7 linked regions of the Callithrix jacchus genome follow. The protein of the gene in region 6 interacts with the protein of the main gene of each other region in a pairwise test. Links are inferred from orthologs where the notes say so. Each region holds a gene or a part of one and is shown on either strand. Other genes may lie near its edges. The genes, in order: TMUB2, RTL8C, MIEF2, TXNDC12, SRGN, UBQLN1 and FZD7.

Region 1 (4,075 bases), on a different chromosome or scaffold from region 6:
GCCTGAAATAACAAAGCAAGGGAGTGGGGAAAAATTGGAGGGTGGATTTTTCCCCCCTCATCTTTATCCTTAACTAATGAAGGGTGTATTTCTTTTTTTGAGACAGAGTTTCACTCTTGTCACCCAGGTTAAAGTGCAAAGGCTCACACAACGCTTCCCGGATTCAAGCAATTCTCCTGCCTCAGCCTTCCAAGTAGCTGGGATTACAGACATACGCCACCGAGCCTGGCTCATTTTGTATTTTTAGTAGAGATGGGGTTTCTCCATGTTGATGAGGCTGGTCTCAAACTCCCAACCTCAGGTGATCCACCCGCCTCGGCCTCCCAAAAGGCTGGGATTACAGGCATGAGCCCCCGCACCTGGCCTGAAGAGTGTATTTCTAAGAAAGTATCTACCTGCCCTTAGGAGGGCTTGATCTTATACTTTCCTGCTGCTCCAATGTCTGCACCAGCCTCCTTAGAGGCAACCAAGGGCTGGGGGATGGGCACAAGCAGCCTCCCACTTCCCAGGCCACTCACCTCTTCAGGGCACCCACAGTATCCTCTGGCTTAGCCACAGCCAGCTCCTCGGTATCATTGAGGAATTTGAGCCGCACAGTGATGAGGCCGGGGCTGGGAGGGAGGCAGGTCCTATCCTCAGACCTCAGGGGGGCCTCTGGACTGCTGCTGTCTGCACCTGCTTGTCTTTTGGGCAGGCCTTGGATGTCAAGGAGATGCTCAAGGCTGGGCTCAATACCACCCCCAGCTCCAGCTTCCCCTGTGGAGTCTCCCCCACCTTCGCCAGCCTCTTCAGCCTTCTCGTCATTACCCTCTGATGGATGGGGGAGTTCAGTTGGCTCAGGGTTGCCTTGGCCTGCCACCAGGTGGTCCACATGCCCCAGGTGGAGGACAGACGTGTCGCCTGCTGACACAATAGCGCCCAGTAGCTGGTTGCTACCGCTGTCTGCTACGTAGGTAGAGAGCCAAGCTAGGACCAAGGCTAGAATCAGCACCACCACACCTGCCACCACCATCACCTCATTACCCACGCCCTCAATGAGGGTGACATCAGAGAGCTCCATGGCCTGGCTGCTGACAGGGTCCACGCTGCAGGAACAAAGGGGGATAGCATCAGCAGAGCCTGAGGGTTGCAACCAGGTCTCTAGTTTGTTTAGGTTCTAACTGACCCAGCCCTGAAAAAAAAAATGGAGTTCAGTGTTCTGTAGAATCGGGTACAAACCTTCCCAATTCTGGCGCCTCAACCTAGAGCTGAAGACCTACCCTTTGCCTCTATTGTGAAACTCTTGCTTTCAGGTTCTGTGATCTTCCTCTCTCACACTTTTTTTTTTTTTTTGATGAGAAAAACCTTTGCTTCTTTGAGGCTTAAGTTTCTCTAGGATTTCTAGCACTTGGTCAAGCAAATATGCCTCCTAAGCAGCCTCCAAAGTGGCTTCAGAGAGATCCAAAAGCCTGGAATATTTTCAGATTGAGAATGAGCCACCCCTACTAGATTGTCTCATTTGAGCCTATTTCATTCCTGGTCACAGATCCAGGCTGCCCAGATGTCAAGAGCCAAAGAAAACTGACCTATCATCAAAAGCAGAGTCAGACAACCTCAATGGGATAACTCTGTAGGGGCTGTGAACAGACACTATGCAGCAGACATGATGTGCCGCCTCTGAAGCTTCTGGCAACCCCTGGAGAGCAACGTGGGACAGACACCAAAACACCACCCTCCTGGGTCACCATGGGCCCACTCCTGCAATAACCACTCCCCAAGTGGAAGTGATTTGAAAAAGATTCCCCAACGGCTCTCGCAATCCACATCTCAGTCTCTCTTCTTTCACCGTGAAGCCTCTGCTGCTGCAGTTTCTTAGCAAGACAGGAAGCATCCCTGCTTGCTGCTTGGAGTACCTACTATTTCCCTTGGAGAATCTGCTGCTTTCACAGCTGTCCCTGGGCAAATCCATTATCAGACTATTCTCACAGCACCTATAAAACTTCATTAAACTTATCTACCTGTCCTTTCTCTTAGACTCCTGGTAGACAAGGATCGTATGTATTTCTCTTGGTACTGAAGTGTCCAATATAATGCCCCAGTAGTTACTGAGTATCTGTGGAACACATCAACATCCTTATTTAATATACCGGCCCTGGAGTTAGAAAAACAACTAATTATAACCCCAGTCTTGCGTTCTACTAGCTATGTCAACTCGGACAACTTTCTCAGAGCCTCAGCTTTCTCATCAGTAAAATGGGGTTAAAAATAGTACCTACCTCATGAGGTTGTTTTGAAGATGACGTGAAATCAACGAAGCAAAATACTTAGCACAGTGCCTGGCACATTGCAAATTGCAATTGCTCAATAAATGGTAGCAATTATTTATCACACCCACAACTAACCCCTGATGGTAAGAAGGTTAATTGTCATTAACCATGATTTACAGAAGAGGAAACTGCGGCGAAGAACGATGAAAACGACTGGCACAGACACAGGAAACTCTCGTGGGGAGGGGCCCGGCAGGACCCCAGGTGTCCGGCCTCAGAGGACTTTACTCTGTCCTCAGCCTATGATCTACCCTGACCGTACTCAGACCGCGCGGTGAGGAGGGGTCCCGCACCCTGCTTTTTCTGAGGCGAAAGTTCCGCGTTTGGATGGTCCTATTCCAGCGGCGTTGGACTGGGGTCCATAAGCCCACCCGAACTGAAGGGCTGCCTGGTCCCAGCCGCCGTGCCAAGCCCAGCTCTCCCTGCCGGTGAGGGGTAGCGTCGGATAAGGGGGTCACAAACCGTCCACACCCCTCAAACTTCGGGGCGGGGCTGGGAACTGGGGGCGGGGCTTGAGGACGCGGGGAGTCATGGGAAATTAAAGGTGGATTGGACCAGCACTGTGCCTAGATGGGGAAGCTCTCACCTGAAAAGCCCAGACTAAATGTTTTGACCTCGCCAGGACGGCCCCTGGACTCGTCTTTCCGTAGGGTTCGGGGAAAGGGCTGGCAACCCGCGATTCTGTTCAGGGTCCGGTCGCTTCCGGCTTTTCCCGGAAGCTGTTAGAACCAGGGACAGGAAGTCCCGCCTCCGCGCCTTGCACTGATGACGCAAAGATACGGAAGGCGGGCTGACGTAAAAGGTATTCTTTAAATAAAAGGGACAGGTTTCTCAGCGGAAGCAGGGGTGGAGTCATTGTTGGCGGGATTGCGGCCCTCCTGGAGCTGGGCCACGCCTTGTGGGCGGGGCCTTAGGCAGTCTAGATTGAGGGGGGGCCAGCGGGGAGGTGCTTGGGAAGGGGCGTGGCTTTGCGTCTGCGGAAAGCTTCCTCCGCTGGCGCTGCTGGGTAGAGGCGGTACGGCGTTTCCCTTTCAGCTTTGTTCTTCCGGCTTTGCTGTCTGCCTCCGGGGCTGGTTGAATTCGTTACTGCTTTGCAACGCGCACCGAACTCCAGGTTAGCGGGATTAGTAAGAACTCAGCTCTGGGCCAGTCGGGAAGGCAGATGAGGAGACGAGTTAGTCGGCATCCAGTGCTTGAAGAGTGCGGCCCCAGCTAGTGTGGGACCTGGAGAAAGAAGGGGAGAAAGCATTTCAAAGGCACAAATTCAGCGCAGGCTTAGGGCACAAAAAGGGGGAAAAGTCCAGCTTTCAAGAACTTATCTAGATTTTTGCAATTAAATTTTTTTCTAAAAACGTACTGGGGCCAGGCTGGGTGCCTTACTCCTGTAATCTTAGCGCTTTGGGACACAGAGGCAGGAGAATCAGTTAAGCTCAGGAGTTCGAGGCTGCAGTGAGCTATGATCTCAGCCACTGCATTCCACCCGACAGCGAGGGCTTCTCTCAAAAAAAAAAAGTGCTGGAGTTTGGGGGTTTTGGAGAACTACTGATTGAAGGTTAAATAATGCAGACGGAGCCGGGCGCGGTGGCTCACGCCTGTAATCCCAGCACTTTGGGAGGCCGAGGTGGGCAGATCACGAAGTCAAGAGATCGAGACCATTCTGGTCAACATGGTGAAACCCCGCCTCTACTAAAAATACAAAAAATTAGCTGGGCATGGTGGCGCGTGCCTGTAATCCCAGCTACTCAGGAGGCTGAGGCAGGAGAATTGCC
Region 2 (3,037 bases), on a different chromosome or scaffold from region 6:
CATTAAACAAGTTTGTACCTAAATTAACATTACAGTTCTGCATTCCTTTCTCTACTACCTACCCAATTAAAGCAATATAAATGTAAATGCTCTTTCTTAAGAATCTAAGCCATTCTGCTAGTTCCTTGATAATGGGTTAAATAAAACTATGAGAGGTATTCACCAACAATTGTGTGAGGTGTATGGCTTGTAACCACTTGGAGTATATGCTTTCAGTCAGTTTTTTGGAAACAAAGGAAGAAAAAGCACCCTATCTGACTATTCCTTACCTTATTTTGGCCAAATTCAGATTAAGGTTCATTTCCTAAGGGGCACAAAACTGACTTGTTTACAACATTAATCGTCTGGGATTGGTCACCGGTGGGATCTCCATTTGCAGGACACCACAGGACTCTGTGTCAACATCAGCCATAAGCATAGCAGGGAATATAGCTTTTGAACAAGATATGGACCCCATTTACAGAACCAGGGAGGGAAAAGTGCCATATTCATTGAGACCATTTCTTTTCAATAATGTCTGACATTTATTGAAAATAAGGAAAAGACTTTCTCCAGGTAGTGTATTAGAGCAGAGCAGAATGCAGGGGTTACTGTGTTGAACAAAAGGCACACATCAGAGAGACAGCTGCAAACTCAGAAAACTGGGTTATGGTCAAAACTAACTGGTCCACAAGAGAAAATTAGAGACTCGATTTGGCTGCCAGGCACACCTGGGCCTAGGCAGGAACACAAGAGGTCTTTGGGAGTGGGGAGGAAATAGGTCTCGCTGAAGGTGACAGATCCCTTGGGGTGCAGCCAGCGGTCTGGATCACTGTCCAGGGGCTGTGGCCAGCTCAGATACCTCCGAGGTGAGTCCAGATCACTGGGATGCGGTGGATGGCGATGGCAGTGGCAGCGCAGGTCTGTGGGCAGAATGATGTAGTCGTCTGGCAGTCTCGTGGGGTGGAGGAGGGTTGGCAGCGGCGGCTGTGGGTGGTCTAATCCAGTGTGTAACAGGAGCCCAGCTTGCAGCTGGAGAGCAGGACAGCGTCCAAATATGCATGGGTGGGGCTGGCCGGATGGAAGAAGAGGGCGGCGGCAGCTCGCTCCAAAGTGAGGCCCAGGGGCGGCGGCAGGAGCCTGGAGCGCTATTCCTGGAACAAAGGCAAGCACTACGCGGGAGGGGACAGGAGCGCAGGGGACATCGCGGCGGCTCGAGAGGGAGGGAGGCGAGGAGGGAGGGCACCGGTGGCGACCCTGGCGGCGGCCATTGGCACAGCGGACCCTCTCCAGAGCACCCGCCCCCAGGCCCGAGGGTCTCCAGGCCTAGAAGTCCTCGTCCTCCTCCCATCCAAAGACCCGCTTCATCTCGGCCAGGAAGCCCCGGTAATCATTGAGGAGGGGGCTCTCCTTCTTGATGTAGGGGATCACCCACTGCAGAGCGGGCCCCGTGAGGCGGGTGATGAGGAACGTCACCTTCAGGGCATCGCTGGAGAACGTGTTCTCGTCCACGAACATGTAGGAGCCCGTCTGCACGATGAACTCCGGGAGCCGGTCGGTATCGCCGTCAAACGTCTCGGGAAAGGGAATCGGATTCCTCCAGCGACGCGTCGCAGGCCGGATCGGCAAGGCCAGGAGGGCCTTTATCAGCTGCACCCGACCGTCCATCGCTGCTCTTCGCTTCGCTGGACGTCAATGGGCTCCACCCGGCTCTGCAGAGGTCAGTGCCGAGGCGTCGCCGGAAATGCGTGTCCACTAAGGCCGGCCCAAGCTAGAGTGGGCGGGGCCACAAGCGGAGCTCCAGTCCTCTCATGGACTCCGCCCACAAGGCCGAGTGGTCCCTAGTGCGCAGGCGCGTCGTGGGGCAAACACTGGCGAAGAGGGGCCTAAAGCCATCAAGGAAGCGGGGTCGTATCGGACTTGATGGGCGGAGGTTTCCTAAGTTGGCCGGACCGGGAGCAGGGGAAGAACCAGGGAAACTTGGTGGTGTACCGGGCGCGGGGAGCTGGCTCCGAGAAGCTGTTAGGAGCCCCACCTAGTTCTGGTAGTTGAGGAGTCCTGCCGCTGCACTCGTCCCCACCTCTCATCAGCCTTTGGGTATGCTTTCAGGGACCCTTGGCCCTGGACGCCACTAGTATGAGATTCTGTGAGCACATTTTCCTGCTGCTTCTTGCGTCTCTCAACCAGATTATTGGCTCCCTACTTTGCGACATTATTATAATAGAGAAGCCCCACATATTAGCAAATATAATCTAAAGCAGCATATTCAAAGAGGAATGCACCACGCTTGAGGGGATGGATACCCCATTCTCCATTATGTCATTATTAATATCTAGTATTTGATAGCGCAAAAGGATGACTACAGTCAAAATAATTTAGTTTTACATTTTAAAATAACTAAGAGTATAATTGGATTGTTTGTAGAACAAAGGATAAATGCATGAGGGGATAGATGCCCCATTTACCATGATGTGATTATTATGCATTGCGTGCCTGTATTAAAGCATTTCATGTACCCCATAAATACATATACCTATTATGTACCCACAAAAATTATAAATAATTTTCTAAAAAGAATAATAAATCCACAAGCAGTTAATGTAAGGAGGGTTAAATATTAAGAAATACCTTAATTTGTTATAAAATCTGCCCTCTATTCTCTGCCACATTGTGCTGTGCATAGGCAGTTCACAACACTTCAGCTTGCTTCTTCATGGAACAAAGGGAGAAAGTGTCTCCTTGAAAGTTGGAATCATGTATAAACTAACATAATCATGGGAGTTATATCTCATCACCTTTGCCACATTCTATTGGTTAGAAGCAAGCCATAGTCACAACCTGCACCAAAAGATATGACCAGGACATTGGGATTCTGGGGGCCACCTTAGAATCTGTCTGCCACAGCATGGATATACAAATTTGGTGATCCGTTCATTTGTTGGAGGATATTTGGAACATTTACAGGTTTTGGAAATTACAGAAGAATCAGCTATAAACATTTATGTACAGATTTTTGTGTGAGCCCAGGTTTTCATTTTTCTAGAGTAAATTCCTAGAG
Region 3 (4,275 bases), on a different chromosome or scaffold from region 6:
GCAGGGGCTTACCCTGGCTGACACATAGCAGGCCCCTAAAACATGAGCCACAGCTGTTATATGACTAGCCACCATTCGCAGGGGAGGAGGGGGTCTGGTGTCCCCATTTTACAGGAGAAAAACTGAGGCCCATGTGGAGAACGGCCCACACAAGGTCGCACGGAACAGGTGGCAGGGGTAGGCGCTTTCACCACACTGTGTGCCCCGCAGGCCCACAGGTTAAGAATGAAGCCACCAAGACACACTCGCAGAGGTGATCTAAGAGGTTAGATGTGCCTCGGCCCCCGGAAGTAAAGGGGGCCCAGACAGCTTCCTTCACACTCGGCGCTCACATTACAACGCACAGGCGTCTAAGAAGGCTGCCTGTCACAATACCCGGTCGCGGGCTCCGAATGCAGCCCTGCACCTTTAAATCCAGACTGCGTCAGAGAGTCCCGCCCCGAGGGAGCGTGTCAGTTGGCTGGGGGGCGGGGCATACCCTTCATTGGCTGAGCCGCGCAGTATTTTGGAACACGTGTGCTGGATTTCGCGCTCCGATTGGAGGCAGGGTCTGCTTGTCTGCGTCCTGCGGCTTCCGCGGCCGCCCCCGGGTCCCTCAACGTTGGGTTCCAGGTTCCTTCTCGTTCCATTCCCAGAAAGGTCCGAGCTTAGGGGCCGTGGTCCTGCTGCCTCCTCCGGTCATTGTGCGGACGCTGCGACGCAGGTACGGCTGGAAGGCGGCGGGGCGGCCCCCAGAGTCAACGGGCCCGGGGCTTGGTGCGCTACGGAACGCAAATCGGGGGCGTGGCCCGCCGTCGCCGCTGGGTAAGGCCGGGAGGGTTTGGGAACCAAGGCCCGCGTTCGAATCCCAGCCCGGCCCCCTTCCCCTCTTGGTCTCTCGGTTTCCCTGCGAACAGGGCGTCACCCGCTCACCTAGGGCTGCTGCGCGGCCCGCTCAGCCCAGGCCCAGGGCAGGCAGATTTGACGGAGGAGGAGGAAGGCCAGAGGGCCTCCAGGGCACCGGTGCGCAAACTCGGGTTATTTTCAGCCACCGGTGCCCTCTCCCGCTTCTAGGACCTGGAAGGCTGTGGGCTGAGGCCTGTGCGACCCCGCAAGCGGTGGGTCTGAGTCCCAATTTAGACAGGTTGGGAATATTTAAAGCGCTTTACAGTTTGCAAAGTAGATTCCTGGTCTCTCTGGGGTCGGGTGGCAGTATTGATCCCCGTGTCACGAATGAGGAGGCTGAAACCGGCCCTGGGGCCGTAGCGGGTCACCCGTTTGGCCTGGGATCGCCCCAGAGAACGTCTTATTTTTAGTCTGGGGCGAATGGGCGGGTGTCCGGGGCTGAGTCACACAGCACTTCAGGCTTCAGCTACTGCAGGCATCTGGTCACCTGGCAACTGAGCCCCTGGCACCCACACTCTGGCAGGGCAGGTAGAAGTCCTTGGTGCCCGGGCAGGCTGTGACCTCATGGTCATCTGCTCAGGCCTCTCTGGGAGAGTTCTGCATGTCGTCTGATGTCCTAAGGTCACAGCGCCGCTCAGCTCCCAGGAACTGAGGGCAGTGTCCGGCTCGCAGAACGTGAGGCTGGGGGTTGGTGGACTGGGCCGCAGGAGATCTTTGCCTCCACCTCCCAAGTGCAGGGCCCCACCCAACCACACACTGCTGCCCATGCCATCTTACAGGTGAGCAAACAGGCTGGGACCCAGGCCCTCACCTTACCTTCTCTGTTGCTTGGCCTCCTAGCAGCTGAGAAGCATCACCCACCGCCACCAAGACTGAGAGGCCCAAAGAGCCCACTGTACAGAGGTCCTGGGCAGCCCTTTTTCTGGGTCTTGATCTTTTAGGTCACCTTGCTTGTTGCCCTGCCGGAGGGGCCTCGGCCCTTGACTTGCATGTCTTCATTGGCCTGCCTGGGCAGCTTGGGCCATCTCACTCTGCCTGTGCTCTGACTTGGTAGTTCTGCCTCTTGGGGCTACCCTGTCAAGATTTGGGGGGTAACTGGTCCCAGAGGTCCCCCAGACTGGTGGGGGCCCCAAATATTGTTGGTCTTCTCTGGACTTTGGGGTCTTCTCAAGAGGTTATCATAGAGAGCTGCTGTGTCCTCTGGTTAGGAACCTTAAGATGAGGCTGCTGCTAAGGACCTGGCCACCTGGCACAGAGGATCCGTCAGACTCTGGGGGCGGATGAGAGTCTGAAGGCCTTGTAGTTGTGGGCTGGAGACCTTATCACTCACTGTGCAATCTGGCAGCCTGGAGCTCTTTAAAATACAGGTGGTGGTGATAAGACCCACCTTGCGGGTTTCTGGTGATGTCAGCGGTCCTAGAGGATAGGCCCCTTCATTGGCACAAGCCTCAGGGCCTTTGTGAGCTTCTTTCCAGGGGGTGGGTTGTTTGCAGCTTTGAGAGAAAGGGCTTGGCAGCTCCCTCATCTCATGAGAGATGGGGACTTGGGGCCCCAAAATCCATATTCCTATCCCAGCCCTGCCCTTTCTCAGGTAATTTACATGGTTCCCAGGACCTTGGTGTCCTCCCCTGTGGATGGGTCCCTTTCTCATGAGAAATTCTCAGAAAGCCCCCCTTATGGGCTCCGCTCTGTTACCCAGCATAAGGACAGCCAGAGCACCTATCCACAGCAGCCCCTCTACCAGCCTGGCCACCTGCACCCTGAGCTGTCCCTTCACCCCTGGCTCTCTTACAGGCAGACCATGGCAGAGTTCTCCCAGAAACGGGGGAAGCGGCGTGGCGATGAGGGGCTGGGCAGCGTGGTGGACTTCCTCCTGGCCAATGCCCGTCTGGTGCTGGGCGTGGGCGGGGCTGCTGTGCTGGGCATTGCCACCCTGGCCGTGAAGCGGGTAAGGCCAGGCTGGTCAGGTCATGCCTGAAGCTCCTAGAGGAGGACAGGGTTGGGCCTTGCAGAGGGGCCCTGGGGAGGGGTGGGGACTGCCCAAGGCCTTCATGGGAGACCAGGTCACCTGCTTCTCCACCCCAGCACCCTGGTCTGCTTTTCCCCTGGGCTTTGCTGTAGCTGCCCAGACTTCATCTACTCTGTATGACTCTGCCTGCAGTTCATTGACAGGGCCACTAGCCCACGGGACGAGGATGACACCAAGGGAGACAGCTGGAAGGAACTGAGCCTGCTCAAGGCCACGCCACACCTGCAGCCCCGGCCTCCACCGGCTGCCCTCAGCCAGCCCATGTTGCCCTTGATCCCCTCGCCTTCTGCCCCAGGTGAGTGGCACTCCTTCCCCTCTCACGTTGGTGGATACCCTTTTGTTGTCACATTTGAGAGATGAAGCCCAGGCTCTCCCCTGACTGACCCTGTGCAAGTCCCTGCTTCTCTCTGGGTTGTGAGCTCCTCAGACATTTAATGGGGGTGGTTTTTCTTTGCCCTGCTCCTGTAGCAAGGTGGCAGCGTTGTGATGGTGGAGAGCTTTAGATGGGGAAACTGAGGCCCAGAGGGGCATGACCTGTCTACTTCCTCTGCATGAAGCTATTTTAGCCATAGGGCCAGGGTGTTGGACTCTGGGGCAATGAGAACTCGTCACCAAGCACTCACTATAGCGAGGACCTGGACTGAGTGCCTTCCCAGGTGAGGACAGTGAGGCCCGGGGATATCACACAGCTAGTCGTTGGGTAGTGTTTTCTTAATTAATCACAGGCTGTTCCAGCATGTTCCTCGCCCCTTCACTCTGCAGAGGAGCCTGCAGAAACTGATCTTCAGGTGACACTACAGCTCAGCTCCCCAACACCGCTGTGTCTGACACTGCAGGAGAGGCTGCTGGCCTTCGAGCGGGACCGTGTGACCATCCCAGCAGCCCAGGTGGCTTTGGCCAAACAGCTGGCTGGCAACATTGCCCTGGAGCTGCAGGCCTACTTTCGGAGCAAGTTTCCAGAACTGCCCTTTGGGGCACTTGTGCCTGGGGGGCCACTCTACGATGGGCTGCAGGCAGGGGCTGCTGACCATGTGCGTCTCCTGGTGCCACTGGTACTGGAGCCAGGCCTGTGGAGCCTGGTGCCGGGCGTGGACACTGTGGCGAGGGACCCTCGCTGCTGGGCCGTGCGCAGGACTCAGCTGGAGTTCTGCCCCAGAGGGAGCAGCCCCTGGGACCGCTTCCTGGTGGGGGGCTACCTCTCCTCCCGCATCCTGCTGGAGCTGCTGCACAAGGCGCTGGCTGCCTCCGTCAACTGGCCGGCCATCGGCAGCCTGCTTGGGTGCCTGATCCTACCCAACGTGGCCTCGGAGGAGCTGCTGCTAGAGGTGCAGCACGAGCGCCTGGAGCTCACTGTGGCCGTG
Region 4 (3,986 bases), on a different chromosome or scaffold from region 6:
ACCTCCATGTCCCATTCCCTTAAATCTGCCCCTACAGAGTACAGTGGAAGTGATGCTATGTGCTTTGTAAGGCTAGATGACAAAAATTTCATGCATTTCCACATTGTTCTCTATGGCACTCACTCTTGGAATCCAGCCTTCCATAAGGCTACTGTGAGGAAACCCATAGCAGCTCATGCAGAAAGATCACATGGAGAGGTTACCAGCTTAGCTGAGGCCCCAGACATCACAGAACAGGGACAAGCCTTCCCCAATGTACCTTGTTTGAATTCCTTACTCACAGAATTGTGAGCATAATAAAATGATTTCTTCATGCCTACTAAATTTTGGGGTGATTTATTATACAACAATGGTAACCAGAACAACCACACAAAGCTTAATATCTAACAAGTAATAAAGATACAAAATACCTGACTTCAAGTTATTACCTATACCTATCACAGTAACTGGAACAGAGTAAATTATTTGTTGAGTGTCTGAGGTAGTTATGATGCCCATTTTGCAGATGAGGAACTGAGGTTTTGAGAGTTAAGAAACTTGCCCAAGGCTACTTAGCTGGTGAGTGGCAGAACAAATTAAAACTCAGATCTAGGCCAGACACAGTGGCTCATGCCTATAATCCCAACACTTTGGGAGGCCAAGGAGGGAGGATCACCTGAGGTCCAGAGTTCAAGAACAGCCTGGCCAACATGGTGAAACTCCATTTCAACTAAAAATACAAAAAAAAAAAAATTAGCTGGGTGTAGTGCTGCACCCCTGTAGTCCCAGCTACTTGGGAGGCTGAGGCAGGAGAATCACTTGAACCCGGAGTTGGTTGCAGTGAGCCGAGATCGCACCACTGCACACCAGCCTGGGCAGCAGAGCAAGACTCCATCTCAAAACAAAAACAAACAAAGCCTAAGAAAAAGCGCAGATCTAAACCCATGTTCCTAACACTATACTCTTGTTACCCTCAGTACTTACAATTTTACTTTAAATATACAATAATCTGTTTTAAAATGGGATTCTCAGTATTGAAAACATTCTGGCCTAATAGAATTTGTCATGCAGTTTCATCACTGAGATGGAAACCCACATATCACCTTCTCCAAAAAGCTGTCCCTGATCTTCATAACTCAAGTGATGTGCCAGCTTCCCCAACCTCCCCAGCCTTCCTACTTCCTATCACAGTCTTGTTGTTTTCCCAGCACTTATTCCTAGCTGAAACTGTCTTGTTTATTAATTTGTTAATGAGTCCACTCTGTCTCTCTGACTTGAATATAATAAGCTCCACGAGAGTAGGAACCTTGTCTGTCCTGTTTACAGCTATATCCCCAATGCCTAGGACAGTGCCTGAAATACAGAAAATACAGAAGGTGATCAAAATTATTTTTGGAATGAAGGAATGGCTGCATTTAGGCAAAATGAATGCCCACCCAATCTTACTACCAACCAATAGATGTGAAATAATAAGAGAAAACAGGCCGGGCGCGGTGGCTCACGCCTGTAATCCCAGCACTTTGGGAGGCCGAGGCGGGTGGATCACGAGGTCAAGAGATTGAGACCATCCTGGTCAACATGGTTAAACCCCGTCTCTACTAAAAATACAGAAAATTAGCTGGGCATGGTGGCACGTGCCTGTAATCCCAGCTACTCAGGAGGCTGAGGCAGGAGAATTGCCTGAACCCAGGAGGAGGAGGTTGCAGTGAGCCGAGATCGCGCCATTGCACTCCAGCCTGGGTAACAAGAGCGAAACTCCGTCTCAAAAAAAAAAAAAGAGAAAACAAAAACGGCAGGGTTGCAGCAGAATCATTCCATACAGTAAGGTCAGTGGAAAAAAAAATGGAAGAGGGGTTGGGATCCATGCTACAATTCATCTACTTAGAAAAGCATAAACCCTGAGTTCACAGACTGTCAATCCAACATTCAACTAAGTAAGGGCTGATGAGGAGAAAGGTGTTAAAACATAGAATGGAGATGTAGGTAATGAATGGAGTAGGGGCCACACCTAACCACTGATCGCTCATTCACAGAAAACTCAATGTCTTAAGACACACTCGCTGAACCACAGCAAGGACAATTGTCGGGAACTCTTAAAAGAGCACCTTCTACCCTTCACCTGGCCCTTCTTATGCACTAGATATGGCTACCTGGGATGCAGGTGCTGTCTTCCAAAGGCAAGGAAGTGGCAGTAACCCAGGTCTTCACGGAAGAGGTAAGGAGCGGAATCTTCAGACCCAGGACAGGGTTCTCTGCATACGCAGGTCCCCAACGGCTCTATTTCTTCCAGGTGAGAAGTGACCGTTCCTCAGGACTTCCCAAGTACTAGGCACTATGCTGGGCTCTTAAACATGCTTTTCTTAATTTACGGACCATTCCTTCCCCCAACCCAAGAATTTAGCGAGGCCTCAAGTACAGCTTCTCCATTGCCCAGACCCGCTACTCTTTCTGGGGTAGCCAAGAAATCTTCAAACTCCAGGAGTGGTTGGGGAAGATAAAAAGAAATCTGGCGTGGCCTGAGAGATAGAACGTGAGGGGAACGTGTTAGGGCAAGAAGAGGTTATAGTGCGCTGTGGCCCAGGATCAGTAAAGAGTAAGATAAGAACGCGGTCTGACCCTTTCCAAGCCCATTATGTCCATCAGAAGAGATGACGAAGAGCAGGAAACTGAAGCCCAGCAAACAGGTGGCCCCGAGACGAGGCCGTGTCTCCATGGCAGTAGGTGCGCGGAGCCACCGGGCTGAGCGGACGCAGGGCCGCAGTCCCGGCAGAAGGTCCACACCGCCAGCCGAGAGCCGGTCAGCACAACCCGTAGCCTTCCCAGATTTTTTTTTTTTTTTTTTTTTTTTTTTTTTCAAACTCTGAAGGAAGTGATGTTAGACGGATGTGGGTGGTGCCTCCGGGGTCCCGTTCGGCACAGAGTGAGTTTAAAGGTGCAGATCACGTAGATGAGTGCGAGAGCTGTTCTCGATCGCAAGTTACTTTTCCTAGATTCTGGGTGTCCAAGTCCTGGGACGGAGCGGGAAAATGTGGGCCAAGAATGCGGGAGAGAGGTTCGGGAGAACCGTTGCCGCTTGCTTCCGCCACCCAGTCCAGCCCCTCCCCCCCAAGAACCGCTGCACTTCCTAGTCAAACGCAAATTATTGATTGGTGAGGTCAGTCTCTCCCAACAGTGGGCGGTTTGCCCAATGGCCTCGGATTCTCCTTCCCTCTCCACAAATAAAGACTGGACAACTGGATTTCATTGTTAGGATCCTGCCCAGGTCTCCGAGGAGACTTTGCAACCCTCCTCGGCGGTGCGTGGGCTCGTGCCGTGCAGGCATACCCTTTCCCGCTGGAGAAGCTCTGTACCTTATTTTTCCTTGCAACCGCAAATCTACTCAGGGATGATGCAACCAACTGATAAAAGCTCCGAGAAAACCAAACTTAGGGCCTCTTATTGCAAAACTGACTTAGGTGGACTTAGCACACCAGGACAGAAGTCACTGCAGGCTTTTAAAGGGTAAAGCTTCTGGTTATTTTTCTTGTAGCTTGAGGATTTCTTCCCAATTTTTCCCCTCCGCTGTATAACAGGTGAATATGTCCGGTCTTTCTTCCTGGTACTAGTTGAGTCCTAAAGTGCGTACTTAATGCATAGCCAAAAAACAACCTAACTAAAGTATACACCCAAAGAGAAACATACCGACCACCTTTATGTTAGGTTCCCTAAAATTGTAGGCAGGGACACAATGGAACGCTAGGGAGACTGCAAGCCCCAGGATGCCGCGCGGGCACTTGCACCTGCCGCCACTAGCAGTAGAGGCATTCGCAGAGCAGGCCGGCCTTTGCAGTTCAGATGTGCGCTCCCAGGATAGGCTGCCCCGGAGAGGGAGAGGCGGGACCGACTTTGTCACGTGGACCCGCTCCAGCCGCCGCCGCCGCCGCCTTGGTCTTTCTCTGTCTCTGCTGAGGCAGCCATCTTGCTCTTGCCGCGTGCTGCTGTTGGAGGACCCTCCCTGCTTCAGGTGA
Region 5 (4,255 bases), on a different chromosome or scaffold from region 6:
ATTGTGAGGCTCTGTCCTTGGCAGGAAATGGTAAAGGAATCAGCAGGAAGCCTAAAACAAGGGAAAGGAAACTCCTCCCTCCTATCAAAGGCCAGGCAAGGGCGAGGATGAAAATGGAAAATGGGGCACGTGCATTAAGCTGTCTGGGGGAGTGGTAGGGATAGACATGTTGAAATGGAGAGTGGTTGAATCTTGTAAGGAAGTAAGGAAAATTTATACGTCTCAAGGGCAAGGATGGACGATAGGCTGGTATTTATTGTATAACTTTAATGTGGAGCCTTAGTCCTCCAGAAATGTGCACCATGCCCGGGGAAAATGCTGTTCCTTCATTTACTACATGAGGCAGAGGTTTGGGTTGTTTTCTGAGGTCCAGTAGCTCACTGTGACAACAACCTCTCCCTCGTTCCTGATTTCTAGCTTATTCAAGGCCAGATGACCCAAAACTCAAGTTGAAAATTTTGACTAGGAGAATAGATAAGAGTAGAAATGGAGTCTAATCATAAGAAATGCTCAATGTGAAGGAGAGAGAAATGCAAAGAATTTTTTGTTGTCGTTGTTATTGTTATTTGTTTGTATGTTTGTTTTTTGGAAACCGAGTCTGGCTTTGTTGCTCAGGCTGGAGTGCAGTGGTGCGATCTTGGCTCACTGCAACCTCCACCTCCCAGGTTCAAATAAAACTCTTTCCTCAGCCTCTCGAGTAGCTGGGACTACAGGCACAGGCCACCACACCATATTGCCCAGGCTGGTCTGGAACTCCTGAGCTCAGGCAATCCACCTGCCTTGGCCTCCCAAAGTGCTGGGATTACAGGTATAAGGCACTGCGCCCAGCTGAATTTTTCTATTTTACCATGGTCTTTGTAACTGAAAATTCTATGTTCTTGAGGTAGAGAGAGAGAGCCAATGATCCAATGCAATAAACTGAGTTTAAGAAGAAACTGTTCATCTGAAAACCGACAACTCATTCTTGAAGGTTAGAGCTCAGCTTTGAAGTTTCAGTTCACGAGCTTGGCTCAGTGAGGTATGCTACTCCCTGGTGAGAAAGAAAATGAAGACAACACTTTATGTTGAAAGTGCTCAGTGACGAAAAGGCAGCACCTAGGTCCCTTATCTCATCAGAAATGCAGCAGATTCTTAATATTAGCAATTTCATGTTTAGATTGTTACCTGAAGAAAGGAAAAACAAACTATCACGAATGCTGATTCTGCTGTTTCGGTGGGAAAAAAATGTCTAACAGGCAAGTGGCAAACAACAAAACTTCTGAAGAAGCAGGCCTGGGGGCAGTCCAGTGTAGTTTCATAATGGTATGAATAGTTATTTTACCGTGTTTTTTTCCCCCTTTCTTTCTGGGTTTTGATGTGAATCTCTTCCTATTTGTTCAGGAAATTATGACGTGTGTTCTGGGCAGGGTTTGAGGTTTTGGAACCTTTTCTAAAAGGGACAGAGAGCACCCTGCTACATTTCCTAATCAAGAAGTTGGTGTGCAGCCGGGAAAGCTGAACGGAGTTGGTCATGATGCAGAAGCTATTCAAATGCAGTCGGCTCGTCCTGGCTCTTGCCCTCATCCTGGTTCTGGAATCCTCAGTTCAAGGTAAGACTCAGGAGTCTTGTTCCCCAGCCATCTTCTCTGTAAGCCCCCAAGACCATACAAGTCATTATATTCACTTTAAGGCACAGAATGTATAATATTGTAGGATAGGAGGCAAAGAAGAAGGATTTGGGGTGGCTGAACCCTTTAATATGAATTCAGTTAAGTTTGGTACCAAGAAAAATTAAACTTTGAGGCACGCACAGTCTTGTAAACTCTTACAATGATTGAAATGTGCTAATTTATTTTGGGACGAAAGTATGAGGTTTATAAATTTTGAAAGCTCAAAAAAGGAATCTAGAAAGTGACTTCTGTGCCCGTTGCATGGAGGAGATGGGACCTTTGAGTGTTTGCGGGTTTCTGCCTAACCCTAGGTGTCTACATCAGCCCCAAGTTTTAGTGCACTGTGATGGTGTCATTGTTATTTTAACACTGGGAGATATTATATTTCAATTGGGGTGAATTTGACTGTGTGTATTTTTTTCTTTTTTTTAAAGATAAACTTGGTTCTTACTGAAAACTCAATTATGATTAGACATAGTTAATGCAAACCCTCTCAGATTTTAAAGAGAAGGCCACAGAATGTGGTATTTGGGCTGTTGCTCAGAGAAACATCATATTCGGAAATATCTTCCTAGGTTTATCTATTGTTTAGTGCTGTTTAGTCAGACTGAGACAACTTAAAACCTCTAATGACTAAGACGATAACAATGATCAGTTTGTAAGAAAAATACAATTTGCTCTCCTTTGATAAATAACGAATCATGTCGAAATAAGAAAGAAGTCACGGCCTGATAGAGAGATGGCAGAACTGAGAGCAGAAAAACACTAGGTTCCCCCAGATGGTAAGGGAAATGTTGAGTCACAATGACACACACGTCCTAGATTTGTTTCGTCAAACTGACTTTTCGGTTGTCACGATGTAGAGATGAAATCTTACAGATGATCGCAGAGACATTCATTTTATGTTGGAAATTTATAAAATCTCATTTTCTTCTAAATGTTAATACTGAAAAAACAGCAAGTAATTTTGCCGGAGCTTTATTAATCCATGTATTTTTTAAATGTAAAACATAGTCAGTTGTAGGGAACAGACTTCACTTGGACCGTTTAGGGAATACGTTCAGCTTGATGAAATAATTCCCTAAGAACCATGTGGTCTGACAAGATCAAGAGCAATGAGGTCCATACTTTAATACAGTCTTGAGTGGCTCGGTGGTGCTGGGCATGCCGCAGCCAGAGATACGTACGTCTGTATGTTTCCAAAATTTCCCAGAAACATGAATTTCCTGCTAAGATTGATTAAGGAAAACTAGAATGAAAACAACAACGTTCCTTGTACAGTGTTCATTAGAAAGAAATGAAGAAAAAAATAATTCATCATGAAATTGGATAGAACGCTACCATTTACGTCATGACCTCATAGGTTTAGCTGTTAGAAAAGGAAACCATAGAAAGAGACAAGGGAGAAACTGACAAACATGGTTCTGAAAAAAGGCTCTTGGTATCGGCTCAAGGGCTTGTGCCCACATCTGAGTGCGCAGGGAAATAGATGTTTCCCCATGGCTGCATGTGTGAGTGACTGCCGCACGAGGCTGCGATGTGAAGGGTCGTGACACCCTTTCCTCACACCTCCACACGATGCCAGATATGATTCAAAAACATTCTTCCCATCTTATAAAAGGTGTTTATCTAGCCCCTTGGTTTGGCTGATCAAATCAACTAGGCTTTTGGCTGGCTTATACTGAACATTTTCAAAACCATTTCAGATTACTGTAGTAGTTTGCTCGGGCTGCCATAACAAAGTGCCTCAGACTGGGTGGCTTAAACAACAGAATTTTTTTTTCTCCCAGTTCTGGAGTTGGGAGTCCAAGATCAAGGTGCTGGCAGGGTTGGTCGCATTCTGAGGCCTCTGTCCTTGGCTTATAGATGGCTTTCCCTCCACGCATGTGTCTTAATACCGTCTTCTCATAGGTCACCAGTCATTGGATCAGGGCCACCCTAATGACCTCATCTTAACTAACTACATCTGCAATGACCCTATTTCCAAATAATTTCACACTGTGGGATTCTGTGGGTTATAACTTCAACATACAAATTTGGTGGTGGTATATTTTTACTATAAGTCACACCCAAATAAAGACATGGGGTAAAATTGTGCCTACCCAGCACAAAGAAATGGCAATTTGGGGATGTGTGGGTAACCCTGGAGAGCACAGATGACTAATCTATTTAATGGAGAGCTCCAGGGGATTTGATAAGGCTTGTGAATCTTACACGCTTATTGTTTCTCTTTTCCAATGACTCCCATAAAGAGAAAAAATGGGGGCCATGAGTGGTGGCTCATGCCTGTAATCCAAGCACTTTGGAGGCCAAGGCGGGTGGATCACCTAAGGTCGGGAGTTCAAGACCAGCCTGACCAACATGCTGAAACCTCATCTTAAAAAAAAAAAAAAGAGAGATAGAGAGAAAATGTGATATCCTTGAACAGGTGTGGCCAAGGGGGCCAGGTCCTCCGTGTGTCCCCTGCCCACTGTCTCCTAGCTCACAGGAATGATATCAATCCATTCATTGTGTTGCTGTTTGCAAAGTGATTTCACATCTATACTCTGATAATCATCATCACATTCCCTGTGAGGGGGAATTAGCACCAGAAAACTAGATCTGAC
Region 6 (3,500 bases):
TGGCCATGGTATTTTATTATTTAAAACGATAAAAGAGAAGTCAGTCTTGGTGTTTTGAAACTGGTAGTTCTGGGGCTTTATATATTTTGTAGTGACTCTCAGGCTTGTAAACCATTTTCCAAGGTTAGTTGGTATCCTTGATCTATTGTAATGATGTAAGCCTATCTTTGGTTAGTCAGGTGGTGTATATTTGGAAGTAGTAAAGCTAAATTCAGGATACATGTATTGTCAAATTTGGAACTGTTGTTTTAGAGTGTACCTTACTGGTAAAATTGTTAAATTAGTAACAGGTAACACTTGGTTAGGTGGAATATGTGGCTTTCACCATATTACCATGTTGTAAGAATTGTGTATTTGGAGGTTGTCTTTTAGAAATAATACTTTATCTTCTATTGGAGAAGGGGAATAGTTGTGGCTTCCAGAGTAGCTTTTGATTGTCTTCCATTATGAAAATGGCTTTCATGATGGACTTAGGAGGAGGTCAAGTAAAGATTTTCATACTAGGTTTGCTGTCAAAGAGGAGATACTTGTGTTTATTTGGGGACAGAAATACCAATGTCTAGGAGTAAGGTTTTAGATTTTCTCCGGAAGCATAACAAAGATTGTAAAACTTACTTTCACTGATTTTAATTCCTTTGTAACCACTAGTTTTTTTTCTTTCTTAGATGCAGAATCCTGATACACTATCAGCAATGTCAAACCCTAGAGCAATGCAGGCCTTGTTACAGATTCAGCAGGGTTTACAGACTTTAGCAACGGAAGCCCCGGGCCTTATTCCAGGGTAGGCTTATTTGGGGAAGATAATTAAGGTGCATAATGGTTACTTTCTCTGAGAATTTCAGTGTTAGTATTATGCTGCCTGCCTTGTGTTTTTTTTTTTGTTGTTGTTGTTTTTTGAGACAGGGTGTTGCCCAGTCACCTAGGCTGTGAGTGTGATAGTGCAGTTGTGGCTCACTGCAGCCTCAACTTCCCAGGCTCTAGGGATTCTCTCACCCAGCCTCCCTCCAGGTGCACATCACCACACCCAGCTCACACACACACACACACACACACACACACACACGTTTTTAGAGACAAGGTTTTGTTGCCCAGGCTGGTCTCAAACCAGGAGCCATGGCTTCCCAAGGTGGGATTACAGGCATGAGCCACGGCATCTGGCTTTTTTAAAATTATTATTATAGAGATGGGCTTTTGCTCTTTTACCCTGGCTGAACTTGAACTTCTAGGCTCAGGCGATCCTCTCACCTTAGCCTCCCCAGTAGCTGGGACACAGTGCCAAGCTATGATTGTTTTTAAGTCAGGGTTTTTAAAGTTAAAAACGATTATTATATTTTAAATTCGTAAGATAGAGCCTTACTCTGTTGCCCAGACTGGAGTGCAGTGTCACAGTCTCAGCTTACTTCAGCCTCCCCCTCCTGGATGCAAGCCTACCTCATACCTCATCCTGCCAAATAACTGATACTACAGGTGTGCACCACCACACCCAGCTAATTTTGTTTCTATTTTTTGAAGAGATGAGGTCTCACTGTGTTACCTGAGCTGATCTCACGTTGCTGGGCTGCTGGGATCATTGGTCTTCCAAAATGAGCCACTGCACCAGGCCGAGAAGGCTTATTTTAAAAAGATAACTTAGCTTATATTATATTAAAATGTAACTGATTTACTGACTGGGCTTTGGTTTTGCAAGACCTTAGGTTATTTCCTATTTGTTCTTTCTCTAGGTTTACTCCTGGCTTGGGAGCATTAGGAGGCACTGGAAGCTCTTCAGGAACCAATGGCTCTAATGCTGCACCTAGTGAAAACACAAGCCCCACAGCAGGAACCACTGAACCTGGACATCAGCAGTTTATTCAACAGATGCTACAGGCTCTTGCTGGAGTAAATCCTCAGGTATCAGCTCTTTTCCCTTCAAGTTTTATATTCCTTAATGTTAGAAATTTAGAAATTTCCAAAAAGAAGGAAAAGGGAAAAAAGGAAAGCAGTAGTTCTTAGGTGTTTAGATTAATGAACAATACAGTCTTAAGGGTATTGAATAAGAAACAAGCATTACAAAAATTGTTGACTTTGGTGCTATGTAAGACACTAAAGGAAACATTGTTATGGCTGTAGGAAAGACAGGCTGCAACCTAAAGTCTTAATTTTTAGGAATTTCCTTTAAAAATGCCTTTTCTGTATGTGGAGTTCCTATTTGAAAATCATTTGAAATAGGTTTTGCTTTAAAAAAGTTCTTGGGGAGGAATGGAAACTTGATCATGCCAAGTACCTCCAGGAAAACTGTATTCTAGTCTTTTGACTGGAAAAAAGTCCTAACTACCTTACCCCACCCATCAAACCACCTCCTTCAGTAGGTTGTGTTGCATATATATGTCTTGCAAATATGGCTAAAGAATATGGACTCCTAATAATGTGTTTGCATCTACAAACATTTATTGGCTTTACTAATAATGTGCCATTATATAAAGATGATTGCCAGTTCAAACCTATTTTATTAGGTTGTCCCCAAATTTCTTAATGTTTAAAGGTCTGTTAGGTGCTTTCTGTTCTTTTTTCTTTTCTTTCCTTTCCCCTTTCCCTTTCCCCTTTCCCCTTTCTCTTTCCCCTTTCCCTTTTCCCTTTCCCCTTTTCCCCTTACCTTGTCCCCTTCCCCTTCCCCTTCCCCTTTCCTCTTTTCCCTCCCCTTTCCCCTTTCTCCATCCTCTTCCCCCTTCCCTTTTCCCTTTCCCCTTTCCTTTCGTTGCCTTTCCTTCTTCCTTTTTTTTCTTTCCCTTTCCCTTTTGACAGAGTCTAAGGCTGGGTGCAATCACAGCTCACAGCAACCTCCATGTCCTGGGCTCCTGCAGTCCTCCCACTTTTGTATTTTTTGTAGAGATGGGGTTTCGCCATGTTGCCCAGGTTGGTCTCAAACTCCTGAGCTCAAGCGATCCCACCTGCCCTGGCCTCTCAAAGTGCTGGGATTACAGACATGAGCCACTGTGCCTGGCCTGCTTTCTGTTTTCAAGGCTTAATATAATAAACAGGGTGGGGTCTGTTTCATGCTTGTTTGTATTCCTGATACCTAGCATACCCTAGTTTCTGGCTCATGGTAGGTACTCAGTAAATATTCATAGAATAAATAAGAAAACAGGATTTGGGGTATTAGAATCAATTGTTGTATAAGTTAACTTACAAGCCTCCAAATCAGTAGGACTGCTAGGACTGATTGGTCATTTATGTGGGTTTTTTTTTTTTTTTTAACTTCATTTCTGAAGAAAAAAGATATGATGCTGCTGAATTGTCAGAATTAAGAGTGTAATTTTGGGCCTGAAACTGAAGCTCTTTTCTAAGAATTGGCCAGTGCAGAAGTTAAACTCACATTCATTCGAACAATCATTGAAGCTTTAGAATTTTATGCATGAGGATATTGGCTTCTGTAGTTACTCAATTGGTCAGTAGCTACGCATATCATCTAATTCTGAACTATTTGTATATATACTTTAAAGTTTTTCTGCATGTACGTGATA
Region 7 (4,071 bases), on a different chromosome or scaffold from region 6:
TCAGCCCCGGAGCCAGGAGAAACTCACAGCAGTCTCTGCTGGTCTCAGCCTTCTCTTAGGCCCAAGCTGGCCCGTACCTTTCACGATTCACATCGTTGTTATCATCATCATCTTCCTGTAAGTCTTTGCCTGAAGTCCTTTCATCCAAACCGATTTCCATCCAGGTCTCCTTTTCCAAGTCACCCCTCACCCCAAATCTGCAAACAACTTCTCACTTCCAGGTCACTTCTCAGTAGAGGGGGAGAAGGTTACAGAAACAGGCCCCCACCCAACAGGTCTTTCCCTACTGTGCCTCTCCTCTAGCAAGAGGGTAGGGGATGGGAAAGGTGGGGAGGAGCCGGGGCTCATACCGCAGTCTCCCCCTTGCTGCTGTGGCTGAGTCTGTGGTAGAAGCGGCGCCACGACTGCAGAGTCTTGCCCGACCAGATCCAGAAGCCAGTGGTGATGCCCACGATCATGGTCATCAGGTACTTGATCATAAAGACGGTGAAGTCGGGGCTCATGGGTGGGAAATGGCCGGGCGGGCAGGGCACAGCGTAGCTCTTGCATGTCTGCAGGAGCCAGGTGCGCTCCCAGTGCTCGCGGAAGGCCTGCTCGTAGAAGTAGCAGGCCAGCACGATGGTGGCGGGCACAGTGTAGAGCACGCTGAAGACTCCGATGCGCACCATGAGCTTCTCCAGCTTCTCCGTCTTGGTGCCGTCGTGTTTCATAATGGTGCGGATACGGAAGAGAGACACGAAGCCCGCCAGCAGGAAGGACGTGCCGATGAAGAGGTAGACGAACAGAGGCGCCAGCACAAAGCCTCGCAGCGCGTCCACACTGGACAGGCCAACGTAGCACACCCCGCTGAGCAGGTCCCCATCCACCTGGCCCATGGCCAGGATAGTGATGGTCTTGACGGCGGGCACGGCCCACGCGGCCAGGTGGAAGTACTGCGAGTTGGCCTCGATAGCCTCGTGGCCCCATTTCATGCCGGCCGCCAGGAACCAAGTGAGCGACAGAATGACCCACCAGATGGAGCTGGCCATGCCAAAGAAGTAGAGCACCATGAAGAGGATGGTGCAGCCCTCCTTCTTGGTGCCCTGCGCCACCGTGCGGTAGCCATCATCCGAGAAGCGCTCCACGCACACGGCGCGGTCCTCCAGAAGGAAGCCGGCCACGTGCGCCACGGCTACCATGAAGTAGCAGCCCGACAGGAAGATGATGGGCCGCTCTGGGTAGCTGAAGCGCCGCATGTCCACCAGGTAGGTGAGAACAGTAAAGAGCGTCGAGGCGCAGCACAGCACCGACCACACGCCCACCCAGAGGCGGGCGAAGCGCCTTTCCTCCTCCTTAAAGTACATCAGGCCGTTGGCACGGCCGGGTTCGCACGGGGCGCCGCAGTCGCGCTCACCCAGGAAGCGGTAGCCCAGGTAGGGGGGCACTTTGAGCTGGCGGGGGCATGAGAAGGGGAAGGCGGGACGCCCCCTGCCATCTGCGGCCCCCGGGGGCAGCGCGGTATAGGGCAGGTCCGGCAGGTATGGTGCAGTAGGGTAGGCAGTGGGGCCGCCGCCTGGGCCCCCGGAGCCATCCGACGTGTTCTGGCCCACGCAGATCTCGCCCGCGCCGTGCACTGGGAAGTTCTCGCAGCGCAGCCGCTCGGGCCACTGGAAGCCGAACTTGTTCATGAGCGCCTCGCAGCCCTGGCGGGCGCGCTCGCACAGGGAACGGCACGGCGGGATAGCCTGATCGAGCACGGTGCACACGGGCGCGTACATGGAGCACAGGAAGAAGCGCAGTTCGGGAGAGCACTGCACTTTCACTAGCGGGTAGAACTGGTGCACCTCGAGGCCCGCGTCCTCTTGGTTCGTGTGGCCCAGCAAGTTGGGCAGGATGGTCTGGTTGTAGGCGATGTCCGTGCACAGCGGGATGGAGATGGGCTGGCAGAAGCCGTGGTCCGGCACGGAGATGCCCTTCTCTCCGTGGTACGGCTGCGCCCCGGCGCCCGCGGACAGCGCGCCCAGCAGCGTCAGCACCAGGGCGCAAAGGCCCAGGGGAGAGCGCGAGGCGGCTGCGCCGGGGCCCCGCATCGCCGGCCGCGGGTGCAGCGGTGCTCTCAGCCCGAGGAGTGCGACGAGGCGGTTGGGAGAGGCTTGGATGCGGGTGCGGGGAGGCGTCGCCGCGCCCGGATCATGAGAACCCTCCAGGCGCCTGGGCCCGGCCGTGGGCGGCGGGGAGCAGAGGGCGCTGCCGCCGAGATGCCCGCGCCGCGGGGGCGCCTCCACCGCCTCCGCCCGGCAGTCGCAGGGCCGCCAGGGGCCCAAAACTCGTCAGCCTGGGTTGGGGGCGCCGAGGAGCAACAAGCGGCTCCCGGGACCCTTCAAAGTTTGCCCAAGTCTCTGGACCCCCAGCGCACAGCAGCGCGCACGCCCCCCGCGCCCGGCCCGGCCCCCGCCTGGAGAATCCCCGGCGTCGCCGCCTGCTCGCCCCGGCCGCCGCCTCTCCGGTGCTGCTCCGCCTCCTGGCCTCGAGGCTCCGCTCGCCGCCGCCTCCTTCGCCTCCTCCTCCACACCCCGCTCCTTCTTCAGCCCCAAAAGCTCGGCCCCAAGTTTCAGCCAAACGGCCGGCTCTCGCTGAGTCCGATCTCGGCTCCGAAGCCGGGAGCGCGGCGAGTTCTTTTTGGAAATCCAGTCACACTGCGTCCAAAGCCGCGCGGCGCCAGTGCCCGCGACCTGGCCCCGGCCCCTCCAGCCCCGCGCAGCCCCAGCCGCGAGTCCAGGCGTCCGCCGCCGCCGCCCGCCAGGAGGGAGCGCCGACTAACGCCTCGGAGTCGCGCTGGTCGCCAGAAGAAGCGTCGGGCTCGCAGGGTTCCGGGCCGGCCCGCCCCCTCCCCTCCCCTCCCCCCATTCACAAACCACTCCGGGGGCGGCCCCAGGCCCCGGCGGCCCAATGGCGGCCTTTGTTTTTTCGGCAGCCGCCTTCGGATTGGGCGGAAGTCGGAAGGGGCGGGCAGGGAGCGGCGAAGGCGGTGCCGCGGCGCTCAGGGCGGATTCCTGAGGGGAGGGGCGGGGGACTGGGAGGGAAAAGTTAGGAAAAACTTTTACCCTGAATTCTCTCAGGGGGGAAAACGCACAGAAAGGGAATTTGCTTCAAAGATTCGTTCCTCTTCCTGGTGCACTCAGATGCGCATTCCTGAGCAAAGGAGCCTTCGCCAGCGGCGTTTGCGGGAGCGAGGACCACGCAGCGCCCCTGCGGGGAGAGACGTGACCCCGAGTAGCGTTAGGGCTGCAAAGCTGGCTCTGGCTCGGCTTTCGGGTCGTTGGGTCCTTCTGTGGGGTTTGGGACGGGGCGAGAAGGGGGTGCGCCTTGCCGATCGCTTCTCTACCCCCGGACCCAAACAGTCCACGCGAAGCCACAGTCCCCGATCCCCTCCCCCGAGTTGTTAAAAGGAGGAGGGGCCACCTCCAAGGAGAAACCCGAGTCGGGCGGAGGGGGCCGAATGACGAGAGGAAGGGCCGACCCCTCGGAGGAAGGGCCCAGAGCGCGCGCGGGGGGGGGGGGCGCGAGGCGCGGGCTCAGGCCACCCAGCCTGCGCGCACGGCCTGGAGTCTGGGGAGCTGGGGTGGCCGTAGCGAGGTTTTAAGGAAACGAAGACGGCGGTGGGGGGACTGGTTCTAGAAGTAACCTGAGACTGAGTGCCCAGGAACACTGTACGACGCGACGCGCGTCTTCGGTGGCCCCGTGTGCCTTGGTTCTGCGGCATGTGGCCTTTAGGGATCCCATCTTCATTGCAGAAGGAACCATTTGATCCTCCATTTAGAATCTGCGCAGAAATGTTTAAATGCATCTTAGAAACCAGGGAATTGGCTAATTAAAGAGTTTTCAAAACACAAAGCGGGGTCATCCTTGTTCTCGGGTAGGGTTTTCTGATTGGCAAACGTTCTTTTGTTCTCGGTTAAATCTTCGTCTTGCGCCAGGGGCTGGGCGCTCACGCGCGCTCTCTGGTTACTCCTGGAGAGGTCAGAAGTCACCAGGGGGCCTCTCCCCTCTCTGGGCTACCAGGAATATCAGGAATTCCCATGCAGGAAAATG

The links.
Region 1: the proteins of UBQLN1 (region 6) and TMUB2 interact in binary tests that used the Homo sapiens proteins (3 or more experiments, as listed by UniProt). The link is inferred for Callithrix jacchus from reciprocal best matches to the Homo sapiens genes UBQLN1 and TMUB2.
Region 2: the proteins of UBQLN1 (region 6) and RTL8C interact in binary tests that used the Homo sapiens proteins (3 or more experiments, as listed by UniProt). The link is inferred for Callithrix jacchus from reciprocal best matches to the Homo sapiens genes UBQLN1 and RTL8C.
Region 3: the proteins of UBQLN1 (region 6) and MIEF2 interact in binary tests that used the Homo sapiens proteins (3 or more experiments, as listed by UniProt). The two-hybrid records come from large-scale screens. The link is inferred for Callithrix jacchus from reciprocal best matches to the Homo sapiens genes UBQLN1 and MIEF2.
Region 4: the proteins of UBQLN1 (region 6) and TXNDC12 interact in binary tests that used the Homo sapiens proteins (3 or more experiments, as listed by UniProt). The two-hybrid records come from large-scale screens. The link is inferred for Callithrix jacchus from reciprocal best matches to the Homo sapiens genes UBQLN1 and TXNDC12.
Region 5: the proteins of UBQLN1 (region 6) and SRGN interact in binary tests that used the Homo sapiens proteins (3 or more experiments, as listed by UniProt). The two-hybrid records come from large-scale screens. The link is inferred for Callithrix jacchus from reciprocal best matches to the Homo sapiens genes UBQLN1 and SRGN.
Region 7: the proteins of UBQLN1 (region 6) and FZD7 interact in binary tests that used the Homo sapiens proteins (3 or more experiments, as listed by UniProt). The two-hybrid records come from large-scale screens. The link is inferred for Callithrix jacchus from reciprocal best matches to the Homo sapiens genes UBQLN1 and FZD7.

The regions. Positions count from the first base shown.
Region 1 is NC_133506.1:71,038,648-71,042,722, reverse strand, and holds the start of TMUB2 (transmembrane and ubiquitin-like domain-containing protein 2), read right to left. Parts: upstream 2,801-4,075; 5' UTR 2,261-2,800; coding exon 2,256-2,260; intron 2,093-2,255; exon of another isoform or gene 1,998-2,092; intron 1,172-1,997; exon of another isoform or gene 1,086-1,171; coding exon 519-1,085; intron 1-518.
Region 2 is NC_133524.1:130,606,550-130,609,586, reverse strand, and holds RTL8C (retrotransposon Gag-like protein 8C), read right to left. Parts: upstream 1,677-3,037; 5' UTR 1,648-1,676; coding exon 1,306-1,647; 3' UTR 501-1,305; downstream 1-500.
Region 3 is NC_133506.1:82,691,929-82,696,203, forward strand, and holds the start of MIEF2 (mitochondrial dynamics protein MID49), read left to right. Parts: upstream 1-1,475; 5' UTR 1,476-1,650; coding exon 1,651-1,664; intron 1,665-2,679; coding exon 2,680-2,833; intron 2,834-3,046; coding exon 3,047-3,209; intron 3,210-3,676; coding exon 3,677-4,275. UniProt on the Homo sapiens protein: Mitochondrial outer membrane protein involved in the regulation of mitochondrial organization.
Region 4 is NC_133508.1:89,039,428-89,043,413, forward strand, and holds the start of TXNDC12 (thioredoxin domain-containing protein 12), read right to left. Parts: upstream 2,801-3,986; 5' UTR 2,693-2,800; coding exon 2,596-2,692; intron 1-2,595. UniProt on the Homo sapiens protein: Protein-disulfide reductase of the endoplasmic reticulum that promotes disulfide bond formation in client proteins through its thiol-disulfide oxidase activity.
Region 5 is NC_133513.1:61,004,690-61,008,944, reverse strand, and holds the start of SRGN (serglycin), read left to right. Parts: upstream 1-1,455; 5' UTR 1,456-1,510; coding exon 1,511-1,589; intron 1,590-4,255. UniProt on the Homo sapiens protein: Plays a role in formation of mast cell secretory granules and mediates storage of various compounds in secretory vesicles. Required for storage of some proteases in both connective tissue and mucosal mast cells and for storage of granzyme B in T-lymphocytes.
Region 6 is NC_133502.1:99,350,801-99,354,300, forward strand, and holds part of UBQLN1 (ubiquilin-1), read left to right. Parts: intron 1-665; coding exon 666-781; intron 782-1,721; coding exon 1,722-1,890; intron 1,891-3,500. UniProt on the Homo sapiens protein: Plays an important role in the regulation of different protein degradation mechanisms and pathways including ubiquitin-proteasome system (UPS), autophagy and endoplasmic reticulum-associated protein degradation (ERAD) pathway.
Region 7 is NC_133507.1:123,203,729-123,207,799, reverse strand, and holds the start of FZD7 (frizzled-7), read right to left. Parts: upstream 2,801-4,071; 5' UTR 2,070-2,800; coding exon 345-2,069; 3' UTR 1-344. UniProt on the Homo sapiens protein: Receptor for Wnt proteins.